2 linked regions of the Pelodiscus sinensis genome follow. The protein of the gene in region 2 interacts with the protein of the main gene of each other region in a pairwise test. Links are inferred from orthologs where the notes say so. Each region holds a gene or a part of one and is shown on either strand. Other genes may lie near its edges.

The links.
Region 1: the proteins of KXD1 (region 2) and CCDC185 interact in a two-hybrid assay, tested with the Homo sapiens proteins (2 studies listed by BioGRID and IntAct). The two-hybrid records come from large-scale screens. The link is inferred for Pelodiscus sinensis from reciprocal best matches to the Homo sapiens genes KXD1 and CCDC185.

The regions. Positions count from the first base shown.
Region 1 is NC_134713.1:87,632,933-87,640,765, forward strand, and holds CCDC185 (coiled-coil domain-containing protein 185), read right to left. Parts: upstream 2,786-7,833; 5' UTR 2,755-2,785; coding exon 844-2,754; 3' UTR 551-843; downstream 1-550.
Region 2 is NC_134729.1:19,763,987-19,771,157, forward strand, and holds the start of KXD1 (kxDL motif-containing protein 1), read right to left. Parts: upstream 3,066-7,171; 5' UTR 2,697-3,065; coding exon 2,685-2,696; intron 269-2,684; exon of another isoform or gene 103-268; intron 1-102.

The DNA of each region.
Region 1 (7,833 bases), on a different chromosome or scaffold from region 2:
AACTCCACTGTATCCAAGCCCTTTTAGTCAGAAAATACCTGCATCCATACATTATTTGAATATATAGTGTGATCAGGGTATTTAGTAAGTGACTGAAGGCAGAAAAAACCCCAAGTATTTGCGGATGTTGAATTATTCACTTCTTAGAATCAGTAAATCTGTTTTTATTATCATGGATTTATATAGCATTAATACTGTAAGATGCTTTACAAATGTAGACTAAGACAGGTATCTTAGTCTGTTCCACACTGTGTGCTTGCAGTGAGATAGTATTAATACTTTTGTGACTTTTTTAGGATTTCAGCAAGATCTATGTTCTACATTCATTAAACATAGGTTCCAGATAATGTTCCCACTAACCTTTTCCATCAATATGCAGATTTTTTCAAAACATGAGCAGAATATTTTTTTATTTGCACCAAGGCTTTTTCGATTGTACACCAGGAGTAGAAACAAAAAACCTAACTGTGGGCATTCTGCTAATCATCTGGGCAGTATAGGAATCTCTTCTGAGCAGACCCTCAAGCACACAGCTTTCAGAGAACACAGATTCCAGGTGATATTTTTACTTTACAAACAATACAATTGCAAAAGTGTTCACTTTAAATAAACACTATCAAATTGTTTAGGCCATAATCGTACAGAAAATGATCAGTGTATTATGAGACACACCAAGTTTAAGGGTGAAACCATTTTAGTGTCATACAGTGCAGAATTCTAAGCAAGTCACAGTAAGAATGCAAACTATCTTTTTAGCACAAGAATGCTTGCAATTTTTCTTTTTAAGTAAGTGTTTCTAGATCCCTTTAAGAAGACTCGCTCTGTATGGACTCTTAAAGCCATCTAGTCAAACGAATGACTATTAATCAGTTCTCTCACTTTTTCTCTCAAGTCATAAGATGCTCTTGCTATTTTTCTAGAGTCTTCCACAGCAGCTTCCTTACCCCTTAAAATCCTATTGCTTTTCTCATCTTTCCTTTTGATGGCTTCCTGAATTTCCCGGAGGTGACATTTTTCATCATCTTCAACTTTTTGTTTTCGAAACTGGTGCTTTATTTCTTTTAAATAGTTATTTTCCTTGCTACGTTGTGCTTTGTCTTGGATATTTTTAGACATCATTTCTTGAGCTTGCTGAATCTTCATCTCCGCTATCTGCAGCAACATATTTTTACGCTTTCTTTTTTCTTCCTCTGTCTCTTTTGCTCTAAACTTGGCCAATAGGCCTTGTTCTTCATCCCTTAGAGATTTTTCCTTTAATTCATTGTTCCTTTCTTCCATCAGCTGATCAAGGATTTCTTGAGATCTTTGAAGCTTTTGTTCTATAGAAAGCCTCTTATAAAGCTCATCAGCTTTGACTTGGTGATCCATTTTTGCTTTCAGGTGCCTGTTTTTTTCATATTGGTTCAGATCTTGACTCCTTTTCTTCCCTTCCATTTCTTTCAACAGTCTTTTTTCAAAGGCTTGTGCCATTTTTTCCTTTAATAGATTATAATTGTACTGCTTAGCACTTTTCTCAGCTAACCTTTTCTCTTTCAGTTGCTTTTCTTGACAGTATTTTCTGTACTCAGCCTGGAGTTTAGTTCTTTCAAGTTTTTCCTTCCGCATCATTTCTTGCTCTTGGGCTAGTTTTTCCCACTTCTTCTGCTGTGACATCATTTCTTTCTCCCGGGCCTTCAAAAGATGTTGGTCTTCTAGCCTGACCCTGGCTTTCCGGTGCTCTCTGTCCTTTTGCCACTTTTCCAGGCTTTCAGCAAGATGGTGCTGCCTTTCTTTCTCCAGTCTTGATTTGAGCTTCTTTTCCCGCCTTCTCATCTTATCCCAGGTCTCAGACGTTTGCAGCTGCCTTTCTTTTAGCTCCTGATCATCCCGATGCCTGGCCAGCATCAGAGCTGCGATCTTTCGGTCCCTTTTAGGGATTAAGTCCTCATATCTCTTATCAGTGAGATCGTGGAGGCTGACCTGGGGCTCCCTCCGTCTTGACCTCGATGGATGGTGGCCGCTGCGGTTGTGGTAATGGTTTTCAGCCTGGGTATCCTCTTCGTCTTCATCTTCTTCCTGTCTGGCAAAGGAGTATATCAGGTCACTCAGGCTTGGGCTGCTTTCGGACGCGTCCTGCCATCCCCCGCTCTTGGGCGCCTTCTTCCCGGGCTTGCTGGGGGCCGCCTCCAGCTGGCAGGAGGACGAGGAGGCGCAGGCGGAGAGGGGCTTGCTGGCCTCACGGTTGAAATCTGGGCCATACCCCCGGGTCTTCTGCACAGGGCTGGCCCACTGATCCTCCTGCAGCCGGCTGCCCTGGCCCAAGCGGCGGCTGTCGGGGTGCTCCCAGCAGTCCCCCCGGTAGAGACTGGTGCAGGAGGGGCTCACGGAGGACGGGTACCCCTCGCCGGCCGGGGGCACGTGTCGCTTCCAGGAGGAGGGGCGGCGGGACTGGGAGGGGACCTCGCTCCTCTGCCCCTTCCTCAGGCCGTGGGCCGGGGCCAGGCTGCAGCCCCCTTCCCCGCCCGCAGTCTCCGGCTCCGAGCCGTACGGATCCAGGTAGCGCGGCGGCGAGAAGCGGCCCGAGCCCGGCCGAGCCATCTCCAGGCGGGGCGCGGGGCAGCCCGGCTCAGCGCGCGGGGAGCAGCCGCGGGGCGCGGGCCGCTTCCTGCTGCCTCTGGTGGACGCGCGCTCGCCCAGGGAGGTGCCCGCGGGCAAGCGCCAGCCGCCCTCGGCCCCTGGACACCGCCCCGGCCCTCGCCGCCGCCGCCGCTGCATGGCCCCGCGCTGCCCCGCTCCTGCCCCGCGGCGCCGCAGCACAGTGACCGCCGCGCCGCGTCACAATGGGCCAGCAGGTTTTACTCCCGCCCCTGCCCCAGCACCTGTCCCCGTCCCTCACACGCAGCCCCCCTCCCCAGTGCCCAGCCCCTCAGCACCGGGCCCAGCCCAACACTCTCAGCCCAACCCCCCTCCAGCCCCTCAGCACCGGCCCCAGCGCATCACGCTCAGCCCTCCAGTCCCCAGCCCACCACACTCAGCTGCCCCAGTCCACCACGTTCAGCCCCCACCCCAACTATCCTCACATTGCACCCCTGCATCTATCCCAGCATCTGCCACAGACCTCCCAGTCCTGCAACATCCACCTCAATCTCCCTCCCTGCCAGCCCATCACATACAGCCTCTGCAGCACCTGCCCTAACTCATCTCACACACACACACACACACACACACACACACACACACACACACACACACACACACACACACACACACACACGATCCACCCAGCTCATCATGCACAACCCCCTCCCTGCAGCACCCGCCTCAATCCGCCACACTCAGCTCTCTTCCCAACATCCACCAAACCCAGCACGCTGCTCCCCCACAGCACCTGTTCCTGTATCCACCCCAACCCACCACACACAATGCACACAGCACCTAGCTGCCTCACCATACACAGCCACCCTAACACCTGGCTCGAACCACCATACTGCTCCCTTACCTCACCCCATCCTTTGATTGGTAAGGCCACCACACACAGCTCCGCACATGCTGCCAACTTTGCCTATGGTGGGGTAGGGATGGGCCTGAAGGCATACAGGATGCTGCATGACCCATTTCCCCCAAATGTTACATATGCATCAATTATTGCAGCAATGCAGGAACATCTCTCGCCTACCTCACTGATGACAGCAGAATGATATTGGTTACTTCGGCAACACCAGGGAAGTGGAAAGTGAGTAGCACAGTTTATGACAGCTCCATGGAAGTTGTCAGAGTACTGACAGCTTGAAAAAAAATTAAGTGATGTCCTGTCTGACCAATTTGTCTCTGGATTATGAAATGACCAGTATAAGTACTTACATTCAAAAAGGCTAAATTGGCTATTGCTATGGAAACCAGGAAAAGGAGTCTGATAATCAGTGTGCACTAAGAAGTTCACTTCCTGAATTGGGAATGAAAGGAATTTCCATGTGGCCACTGTACATAAATTACACATGCTGACGAGAATTGCAGGCCACACCAGGTCATTGGCAAAAAGTGCCAGAAGAAAGGATACATCACTGTGACCTGTTGCACAGTTCAGTGAACACCAGCACAAAATAACTACACATCCAAGAATACACCTATGGGCTGTGTCCAGACTCCATGCCTCCGTCGACGGAGGCATGTAGATTAGCCAGATCGGAAGAGGGAAATGAAGCCGCGATTAAAATAATCGCGGCTTCATTTAAATTTAAATGGCTGCCCCGATCTGCCGATCAGCTGTTTGTCGGCAGATCGGGAGAGTCTGGACGCGATGCCCCGACAAAGAAGCCTTTCTTCATCGACACAGGTAAACCTGGTTTCACGAGGCTTACCTGTGTCGATGAAGAAAGGCTTCTTTGTCGGGGCATCGCGTCCAGACTCTCCCGATCTGCCGACAAACAGCTGATCGGCAGATCGGGGCAGCCATTTAAATTTAAATGAAGCCGCGATTATTTTAATCGCGGCTTCATTTCCCTCTTCCGATCTGGCTAATCTACATGCCTCCGTCGACGGAGGCATGGAGTCTGGACACAGCCAAGAAGACTGAGCCTAGGAAAGACTGAACCTATGAAATCAGGAATTCATAATGTGAAGATAAGAACTCTAGTGATAATGACCAAGACCCTACTACTGCATGTGTTACCAGGAGTCAGAAAGGGAATCTGGGTCACACCCTTGGTGAAGAGAATTCCTACAAGAATGGAGCTTGATATTGGAGCTGCCATCTCACTGAATTTCCATATACACCTATTACCAGACATTGGGTTCCTTTGGGAGAAATTTCCATAGTTTTGAAGACTTACCATCTTGGAACTAACTTTTCTAAGGGATACTCCAGGTAAAAGTTCAACTTAATGGACAATAAGAGGTTTAACCCTTGTATGAATTTGAAGAAAAGTGTCCACTATTTTGTGACAGATTTTGGCTTAAAGTGAACAGAGATCAAGGTGAAGATGATCAAAAAAGCACCATGGAATTAAAAAAAAAATACTAGAGAAGCAGGCATTTCAAAGATTTGAAAAAGAATTTGGGACAAATAAGTAATGTATCTTTAACAAGCAAAGAAGATGACATCAGATGAAGTTTTTTTGCATGTTGATGCTTTGCTACCATTGCAGTTGGTTTGTGATGATTCACTACATGGAGTGGATACAGTTCTTCTTCAAGTGATCATTCACATGCATTTCAATAGGCATGTGCACACTGCATTCATGATGATTGGAAGGCTTTTTTTTCTATAGTGGTACCCAACGGGCTAGCTGCGGAGCCCCCTAAAATGGTGCTTGTAAAGCTGGCCCTCTATCAACAAAAATGATTAGGGGTTTGGAACGGGCTCCGTATGAAGAAAGATTAAAAAGACTTGGACTTTTCAGCTTAGAAAAGAGGAGACTAAGAGGAGGATATGATAGAGGTCTATAAAATCATGTCTGGTGTGGAAAAAGTGAATAGGGAAAAGTTATTACAGTAAACTTCCAATAATACGGCACCTTTAGGACCCAAGGGGTGCCGGATTATCAAATATGCCGGACTATTAGAAGGGGGGCTATGAGGGGACTGGGGTGCAGTGGGGGAGACGCCACCTCAGACCCCTCATAGCCCCCCTTCCAATAGTCTGGCTTTGCCCCAGGCGTCTCCGATTCAGCCGTTGCTGGTCAGTTTCAGCAGCGGCTGAATCGGGGACGCCTGCGGCAGAGCAGCTGGGGTGCTGCTGGATCGTTCTGGTGGCACCGCCCCTCGGCGCTGCGAGACCAACCCAGCAGCACCCCAGCTGCTCTTGGGGACGCCTGCGGCAGAGCAGCTGGGGTGCTGCCAGGTTGGTCCGGTAGCACCTCCCCTTGGCACTATGGGACCAACCTGGCAGCACCCCAGCTGCTCTGCCCCAGGCGTCCCCAAGTCAGCCGCTGCTGAAACTGATCAGCGGCTGACTCCAGCAGTGGCTGAATCGGGGCGCCTGGGGCAGAGCAGTTGAGATGTTGCCGGGTTGGTCCTGTAGCGCCGCCCCTCAGCACTGGGGGACCAACCTGGCAGCATTCTGGCTGCTCTGCTCCAGGAATCCCCAAGAGCAGCTGGGGTGCTGCCAGGTTGGTCCCACAGCCCCGAGGGGCGGTGCCACCGGACCAACCCAGCAGCACCCCAGCTGCTCTGCCCCCGGCTTCCCCGATTCAGCTGCTGGTCAGTTTCAGCAGCGGCTGAATCGGGGAAGCCAGGCGCAGAGCAGCTCCAATTGTCCAGCTGCCCCAGCACTTCCGGGTTCCTGATGGTGCTGCGCCATCAGGAGTACTGGAGCATTGGATGATGGACCAATGGAGTTTTACTGTAACTAGTTCGCATAATATAAGAACTAGGGGTCACCAAATGAAATTAATAGGCAGCAGGCTTAAAATAAAAGGAAGTTTTTCTTCGTGCAGCGCATAGTCAACCTGTGGAACTACTTGCCAGAGGATGTGGTGAAGACTAGGACTTTAACGGGGTTTAAAAAAGAGCTAGATAAGTTCATGGAGGTTAGGTCCATAAATGGCTATTAGCCAGTATGGGTAGGAATGGTGTCCCTTGCCTCTGTTTGTCTGGAAATGGCTTACAGGAGAGGGATCATGTGATGATTACCTGTTGTGTTCTCTCCCTCTGGGGCATCTGCCATTGGTTTATAGTTTCTGTGGGGGTCCCCTTCCACTTTTTGTTCATTTATGTTTCTTTTTCCTCTCTCCCTCCCCCGCTTCCCAGTATGCAGCAGGGGTGTTTAAGAACTGCATCACTTGTAGCAAGCCTATGCCTAAAAGGGATCTGCCTGCACATTGCATTGCCTCAGGTGTTTTGGTGAAGAATACTTAACAGACTAGTGTAATATCTGCCACAGTTTCATGCCTAAAACTAAGAGAAAGTGAGATCAGCACTTCAAACTCTTGTTAGTGGAGACGGCAGTTCGACCCCCAGTGCTGGACCCGATGTTGTCATATTTGGTGTGTAGCATGCTGGCCTCCATGTACAGTGCACCAGCTTCAATATGGGACACATTGGCACTTCGTAAGGAAGACCCAAAAGAGCACTGGCACCCATTCCCTTGCACACAAGACAAGCTCCTCTGCTCCTCAGCACTGTCCATCTCCGGTGCTGTATGAGAAGACAAGGCCTAGCAGAAGCCAGTCTCTGGACAAGAAGACCAGTAGTCACCCTCTGTCAGTGTGCCCCAGCCTGGAGCAATCTCAGGACAGTACAGTGCAGCCAGCATTGCCAACTCTGGACCCAAGGGCAGGGCCATTGAGTCCAGTGTTGTTGGACTCCACTGGGTGGGAAGTCCACAAGGAGGACCTGGACCTCCCTTATACACTGGACACTTCTGAGGACACTTTCTGACCTTGTGAAATGATGGAGCCTGCAGCACAGACTTTGATGCAGTCCGTGCCTCGGCACTGAACCTGGCACTGACCATAGGCCAATGTGCTCTGCCCCAGCCCTGGCCCCATACGTCATGCAGCAGTCACCCTGGCACCATAGCCTCGGAGCCTCAAGCCGGCACCAGTTATCATATGGTACCAAGGAAAACCGACTCTGCAGCAGCAGCACTCTCCATCCCTTTGGTGCCACTCCTCAGCACTGTTCAGCATGGTCAAGTATACCTTGGAGTTGGAAGCGCAGTCCTTTGCATCATGCAGCGGCTGGTACCATTCCCGTTCTTGCCCCCATTCCCAATACCGTTCCTGGAATCACCAGTAGGAAGCTTCTGCAGCACTGCTAACAACTTGATCCCTGCAGTGGAAAGTGCCTATGCTGTCGTCATTTTGGACACCTTGGGCCTACCATCAAAGTCAGTGCCCAATATAATGGGTAGAT
Region 2 (7,171 bases):
GACTCCTCCCCCATTGGCTGGAGCCCCCCCTGGGAGTCGTAGCCCCCCCCCCCATTGCCTGGGAACCTCCCCCCCCCGACTCCCCAGCCCGAGGCCGCGCACCTGGACGGGCCGCTGCCCCGGGGCCGCCGCCTTCACATGACGGAAGCGGCGCCCAGGCCAGGAGGGGGCGGGACCGGCCGCGGCGGAGCAGGAGCAGCGGCGGCTCGTGGGGGGCCTCGGGCTAGTGGCTCGCTTCCGGGATGAGGGGTCACGCGCGCGGCGTGACCTTTGCGTCAGGACGTACGTGTGCGTGAGGTGCAGCTAGAAATCCCTTCCCCTCCCCACAGCGCCCCCTAGTGGTCAAGGGCCCTCCCCTCCCACAGCTCCTCCTTCCCCTCAGGGGCTGTAGGGGGGAGACCCCACAGCGCCCCCTAGTGGTCAAGGGCACTCCCCTCCCACAGCTCCTCCCACTCAGGGGCTGTATGGGGGAGACCCCACAGCGCCCCCTAGTGGTCAAGGGCCCTCCCCTCCCACAGCTCCTCCTTCCCCTCAGGGGCTGTAGGGGGGAGACCCCACAGCGCCCCCTAGTGGTCAAGGGCACTCCCCTCCCACAGCTCCTCCCACTCAGGGGCTGTATGGGGGAGACCCCACAGCGCCCCCTAGTGGTCAAGGGCACTCCCCTCCCACAGCTCCTCCTTCCCCTCAGGGGCTGTATGGGGGAGACCCCACAGCTCCCCCTAGTGGTCAAGGGGGCCCTCACAGCTCCTCCTTCCCCTCAGGGGCTGTATGGGGAGCCCCCCACAGCTCCCCCTAGTGTTCAAGGGCCCCCCCACAGCTCCTCCTTCCTCTCAGGGGCTGTATGGGGGAGCCCCCCACACCTCCCCCTAGTGTTCAAGGAGCCCCCCACAGCTCCCCCTGCTCCTCAGGGGCTGTATGAGGGGAGCCCCCCACACCTCCCCCTAGTGTTCAAGGAGCCCCCCACAGCTCCCCCTGCTCCTCAGGGGCTGTATGAGGGGAGCCCCCCACAGCTCCCCTTAGTGTTCAAGGGCTCCTCCCACAGCTCCTCCTCAGGATCCGTATGAGGGGAGCCCCCCACAATTCCCCCTAGTGTTCCAAGGGGCAAGGGGACCCCCACAGCTTTCCCTCCCTCTCAAGCACTGTATGAAGGGAGCCCCCCATAGTTCCTCCTCAGTGCTCCAATGGGAACCCACACAGCTCCCCTTCACCCTGTGACCCAAGGGGACTCCTACTGCTCCCTTTCCCCCTCAGGGAGTGTATAGAGGAGCCCTTCCACAGCTCCCCTTAGTGTTCCAAGGGGACCCCTACAGTTCTCCCTCCCCCTTGGAGTCTGTATGAGGGGAGCCCCTTCACAGCTCGCCCTCAGTGTTCCAAGGGGAGCTCCCCCTCCGGGACTCTGAGAGGAGCCCCTACAGCTCCCTTTCATGTGGCCCAGTGGGTAACCATTCAAATTCATGTGACCCCTTAGCTATACGGATAATATAAGCACTCCCATCCCCCTAGCAATAAATTTCTTCAGGGATAAGCCTGTAGGGGAAGAGGATTAATGTTACCAAAAGGGCTCTGGGGTAACAACATGGGCAGAAAAATCTTTATGAAGTTCTCTGGGAGTCGAACATACATGTATATAGCTAAATCAAAGACAGATTGGCTGACTAGAGTACAGGATGAGCCTAGTAGACTGGACTAAAATCAAAGCAGCTCTTTCCTACTTTGTAGAAGGTCCAGTGCACAGGCTGGTCCAACTTCAAGCTTCTTTCCCAGCACAAATCACCAAGACAAAAGTTCCCCAGGTCTCAGAGAGTAATTTCTCAGAAGAAAAATACTAGAGTTGAGGCTTTTTCAAGAAAATGATTGCTTCACTTTTTTCTCAGTTTACAATAATCCTCAAAGTTGCTTATAAATCAGACAAGCAGACATGTTGCCAGCACAGAGAGTCAGACCAGCTGAAATGCTGCCTTTTTCCACTTGTCTTCCAGATTTTCTAAAAAACAAGGCCTCCTTTAGCCCTCTTTTCCCTTAATACTATAAATCCAAGAACTAAAAGTAATAGACATTTTCATCCGTTTCACACAAAAGAATGGGAAAGCTGGAAAGGTCAGAGTCCTGCCTGGAATCAAATGTGAAATTCTGAGGTACCTCAGGGGTGGTGGTGGGGAGGGGAAGAAGACTGTTTAATAGGTGATTTGGGGAGTAAGTGCCCCCCTGCAGCAGACCATAAGAAGGAAAGAAGTCTTCATCCTCTTTTGCTACTGGCCTGACAATCATAAAAAGAACTTCAGTTTTAAAAAGTTATACATCTGTCATCGGGGCAGCACACCCATCTCCCTTCAGGGGGTGGGCATAATGTCTCTGAGACCCCTCAAATGGTGCTCAACCCCACGTGCATACCAGTTTAAGGAGGAGGGTGCTATGCCTCCCCTTCTTACAACTGCAGCTCATCCGGGACGTATCCAGGACCAAACCACATCCAGCCCAGCGTCTCTAACAATGCCCAGTGCAGTGTGGCCTAGCCGTTAGAGTCAATAGCAGTGGGGTATAGCTCTGCTGTTGAGGATGGTGGGGAGACCCAGGCCCACCCTTTCCACCAGATCCCAGCCCAGGGTCTTGTCAGCAGTGGAGTGGTCCACCACTAGCTCGGCGAGAAATCCCACTGAAACTCCTCTCCATGGGCTACTTCCTACCAGTCTCTCCATTGCAGTCTTCCCCAGCTCTTCTCTCCAGACTGGAGGCTTTTTCCTGCATTCCCCACTGGCTGGCCTCCATGTCTTGCTCCATCTGTGGTTCCTCCTTGGGGACTCCAGCAGCACCTCCTTCCTTGAGGGCTGTCAATCCAGACTGAGCTGCTCCACAGGCCCTTACACCTGGTCTCTAGCTGGAGCAGAGCTGGAGTGGGGTCTCTTCAGCCAGGTAGACTGGGTTAAATCTCGCAGCCCCAGTACAGGGTTGGTACCACCCCATCACAAGATCTCTAGGTAGTTTTGCAAGGCCTTTTGAATGGATTTTTTAATAGGTTCAAAATGTCTCCTCGTATTTTTGATATGGACGGTGTCATTTAAAAAATGTGCATGACTCCTACAGATAATAGAGAAGAGAAAGCAAGGTGAAGTCCTGCCCATGTTCAGTGAGGTGCCTTTTTATATAAACAATATCCATACGAACCATTACCATGTATAGATGCATAAGTAAATATTAACCAGTGGTCCAGTGACCTGGAAAAAACATCGCAAGGTGATGATCTGGTGACCTTGTACAAATGGGTGAACTTTTGCTGTAGGAAAAATTCGCATTTCCTTTCTTATAGAAAAAATACTGCAAGTTCCTGGTTGAAATGTAACTTAGAGGTAAATCAGTAAACTTACACTGAATGTTGCACCTGTGTGTGTGCAGGAAAGCGATATGAATAATGAAGAATTAATCAGCACATCCTGGTGGGGCAGTGATCTTATTCTGTTAAAGAGGCAAGGAGTCCTGTGGCACCTTATAGACTAACCGAAGCGTGGGAGCATAAGGTTTCGTGGGCAAAGACCCACTTCAGATGACGAAGTGGGTCTTTGCCCACGAAACCTTATGCTCCCACGCTTCGGTTAGTCTATAAGGTGCCACAGGACTCCTTGCCGCTTTTGCAGATTCAGACTAACACGGCTACCCTTCTGATACTTATTTTGTTAAAATCTCAAATGTCTGTGTTGCTCTTCTGTTTGTTAAATGAGTATTAAATAGGGATGTAAATGAGTAATTGTTTATTCGCCCCCCGCCCCAGCCCAGTCAGAATGGCCCCTTCTCTTTGCTATGCTTCTGGCAGGGGACTGCTGTGGTCAAGCCAGGCCCACCACAGTGCAACATGGGTTGGGGGAACTCCAGCCCCACCTGGCTGGAGCAGCTCCCCACTCATAATACAATAGGACGGGCTGGTTATCCAGTTAAACATACAGCGTCCAGGCTGCCGTGTCAAGCGGCACATGCACTGATGGGCTCTGCCATCCCAGTAGGGTGGCTGCCACCTTGGATCAGAGCTCTGTACATGCTGGAGCCTGTCACGTTGCCAAGGCTGGCGGGGGGTAGTGGTGAATGTTGGGAGCTTCCCAGAGCTGAGATGCACCAGTGCATGCTGGGACCAGGCATGCCCCAGAGTTGGGGTGCAGCGGTGCATGCTGAGAGCAGGGATGCAGTGGTGCATGCTGGGACTTAGCAGGTCCCAGAGTTGGGGTGCAGCAGTGCATGCTGAGAGCAGGGATGCAGTGGTGCATGCTGGGACTTAGCAGGTCCCAGAGTTGGGGTGCAGCGGTGCATGCTGAGAGCAGGGATGCAGCGGTGCATGCTGGGACTTAGCAGGTCCCAGAGTTGGGGTGCAGCGGTGCATGCTGAGAGCAGGGATGCAGTGGTGCATGCTGGGACTTAGCAGGTCCCAGAGTTGGGGTGCAGAGATGCATGCTGAGAGCAGGGATGCAGTGGTGCATGCTGGGACTTAGCAGGTCCCAGAGTTGGGGTGCAGCGGTGCATGCTGAGAGCAGGGATGCAGCGGTGCATGCTGGGACTTAGCAGGTCCCAGAGTTGGGGTGCAGAGATGCATGCTGAGAGCAGGGATGCAGTGGTGCATGCTGGGACTTAGCAGGTCCCAGAGTTGGGGTGCAGCAGTGCATGCTGAGAGCAGGGATGCAGCGGTGCATGCTGGGACTTAGCAGGTCCCAGAGTTGGGGTGCAGCGGTGCATGCTGAGAGCAGGGATGCAGTGGTGCATGCTGGGACTTACCAGGTCCCAGAGTTGGGGTGCAGCGGTGCATGCTGAGAGCAGGGATGCAGCGGTGCATGCTGGGACCCGCTGGCTGTCCTTCTCTATGGCCATGCAGGTCCCTCCCCCAGCCCCGCGCCGCGGCCCCTTTAAGAAGGCGCCGGGCAAAGGCCGATCCAGGCGGGACGGGCGCTGCAGCCAGCCAGTAGCGACGGCCTTCCCCGCGCCGCGGAGCCAATGAGAGCTGGGGGCGGGGCTACAGCAGCTGATCCCGGAGGCCACAGGCCAGGTGGGTGCTGGGGGCGCTGCTCGCGGAAGAGGCCCCGGGCGTGGGGTCTGCTGCTGGGGGCGCCAGCCAGGTGCCGCTGGGGCGGGGGTTGGGGAAGGGGGGGCAGTGGGGTGAGAGGGGGCTGGAGGGGTGAGAGGGGCCCGGGGAGGAGGGGGGTGAGAGGGGCTGGGGGGGTGAGAGGGGCAGGGGGAGGAGGGGGGGCTGGGGGGGTGAGAGGGGCAGGGGGGTGAGAGGGGCCCGGGGAGGAGGGGGGCAGGGGGTGAGAGGGGCCCGGGGAGGAAGGGGGGCTGGGGGGGTGAGAGGGGCAGGGGGGTGAGAGGGGCCCGGGGAGGAGGGGGGCAGGGGGGTGAGAGGGGCCCGGGGAGGAGGGGGGCTGGGGGGGTGAGAGGGGCCCGGGGAGGAGGGGGGCTGGGGGGGTGAGGGGGGCCCGGGGAGGAAGGGGGGCTGGGGGGGTGAGAGGGGCAGGGGGGTGAGAGGAGCCCGGGGAGGAGGGGGGCAGGGGGGTGAGAGGGGCAGGGGGGGTGAGAGGAGCCCAGGGAGGAGGGGGGCTGGGGGGGTGAGAGGGGCCCGGGGAGGAGGGGGGCTGGGGGAGGAGGGGCAGGGGGGGTGAGAGGGGCCCGGGGAGGAGGGGGGGCTGGGGGGGTGAGAGGGGCCCGGGGAGGGGGGGCAGGAGGGTGAGAGGGGCCCGGGGAGGAGGGGGGCTGGGGGGGTGAGAGGGGCCCGGGGGAGGAGGGGCAGGGGGGTGAGAGGGGCCCGGGGAGGGGGGGCAGGAGGGTGAGAGGGGCCCGGGGAGGAGGGGGGTTGGGGGGGTGAGAGGGGCAGGGGGGGTGAGAGGGGCCCGGGGAGGAGGGGGGCTGGGGGGGCGAGAGGGGCCCGGGGAGGAGGGGGGCTGGGGGGGTGGGGGGGCAGGGGGAGGAGGGGCTGGGGGGTGAGAGGGGCCCGGGGAGGGGGGGCAGGAGGGTGAGAGGGGCCCGGGGAGGAGGGGGGCTGGGGGGGGTGAGAGGGGCCGGGGGGTGAGAGGAGCCTGGGGAGGGGGGGCAGGGGTGAGAGGGGCCCGGGGAGGATGGGGGCTGGGGAAGGGGGGTAGGGGAGTGAGAGGGGCCTGGGGAGGGGGGCTGGGGAAGGGGGGAGGTGGGGGTGAGAGGCTTCCGGTGAGGGGGGTGCCAAGGCTGGGGGGTGGCTAGGTGAGCACTGGCTGGGGACCATTTGTGGGGAAACTGGACTCGGCTTGTGACACACACCCCCTTAGTGGGCTGTGCGGGGCTTGTCGTGCTGGACCCAGCTCGCAGTCAGCCAAGGTCTAGGGGGGAGCGGGGCCCTCCCACTGCTGGGGCTGGGCTCTGTGGGTTCATGTGCCCCACAGTGTACTGGCCCCTTCTCTCGCTGCTTCCCTGCCTCCGGCTGGGAGCCACGAGCCTGTGGCCCAGAGGTGTCAGGCTGTGGTCGGTCCCTGCCTGGCAGTGCCAAATTGAAATGAGTGTGGAGGCGGTGGGCCTGCCAGAGAGCTTCTGTCTCCTTGGCTAGCCCGGGTCAAGGGACGGCCCTGTTGCGATATGGGTGTGAGGGGTGGGTAATGCGGCACCGGTGAAAGGCAGGGATGCCTGTTGCACTGGGTACAGCAGACTGGTTCTTTCCCCAGCCGTCTGGGGCTGAGTGCACCACAGAACCATAGCTCCAGGGTGGGAAAAGTGGGGGGGGAGCACTCATGAGTTATGTAAGGCGCTGTGGCCTCCGCTGGAAAGACTGTGAGGAGGGGGATGGTTCTAAAGGGGCAGTTCCTCTATGGCACCTGTTGAGAGTGGGGGGGCATCACTTACTACTCCCTGGGTTTGGGGGCAGCTGAAGCGTTCCAGGTCCCATCTTGCCCTCACCTTTTTACTGGCAAGCTCCTGTTAAGGCAGGTGTTGATGGCCTGAAGCCTTTTTTCTGTGGGTGGCGCCTGCTGGGAGGCAGGGTCTGAAAAGGGCAACTGCTGGAGGGGATGATACTGGTGCTTCTGCTTGGGCTTGTTAGCTGGGTCACAGCTCCTACGGGTGCCTACATGGATGCTTTGTGTTGCTCGCTAATTGAAGGATGTACCAGGGCAAATGTGACACATTTCCTGAAATGCTGTCATGCAAACCCCAGCAGTTTTGTGAGTGGTGTGGGGCT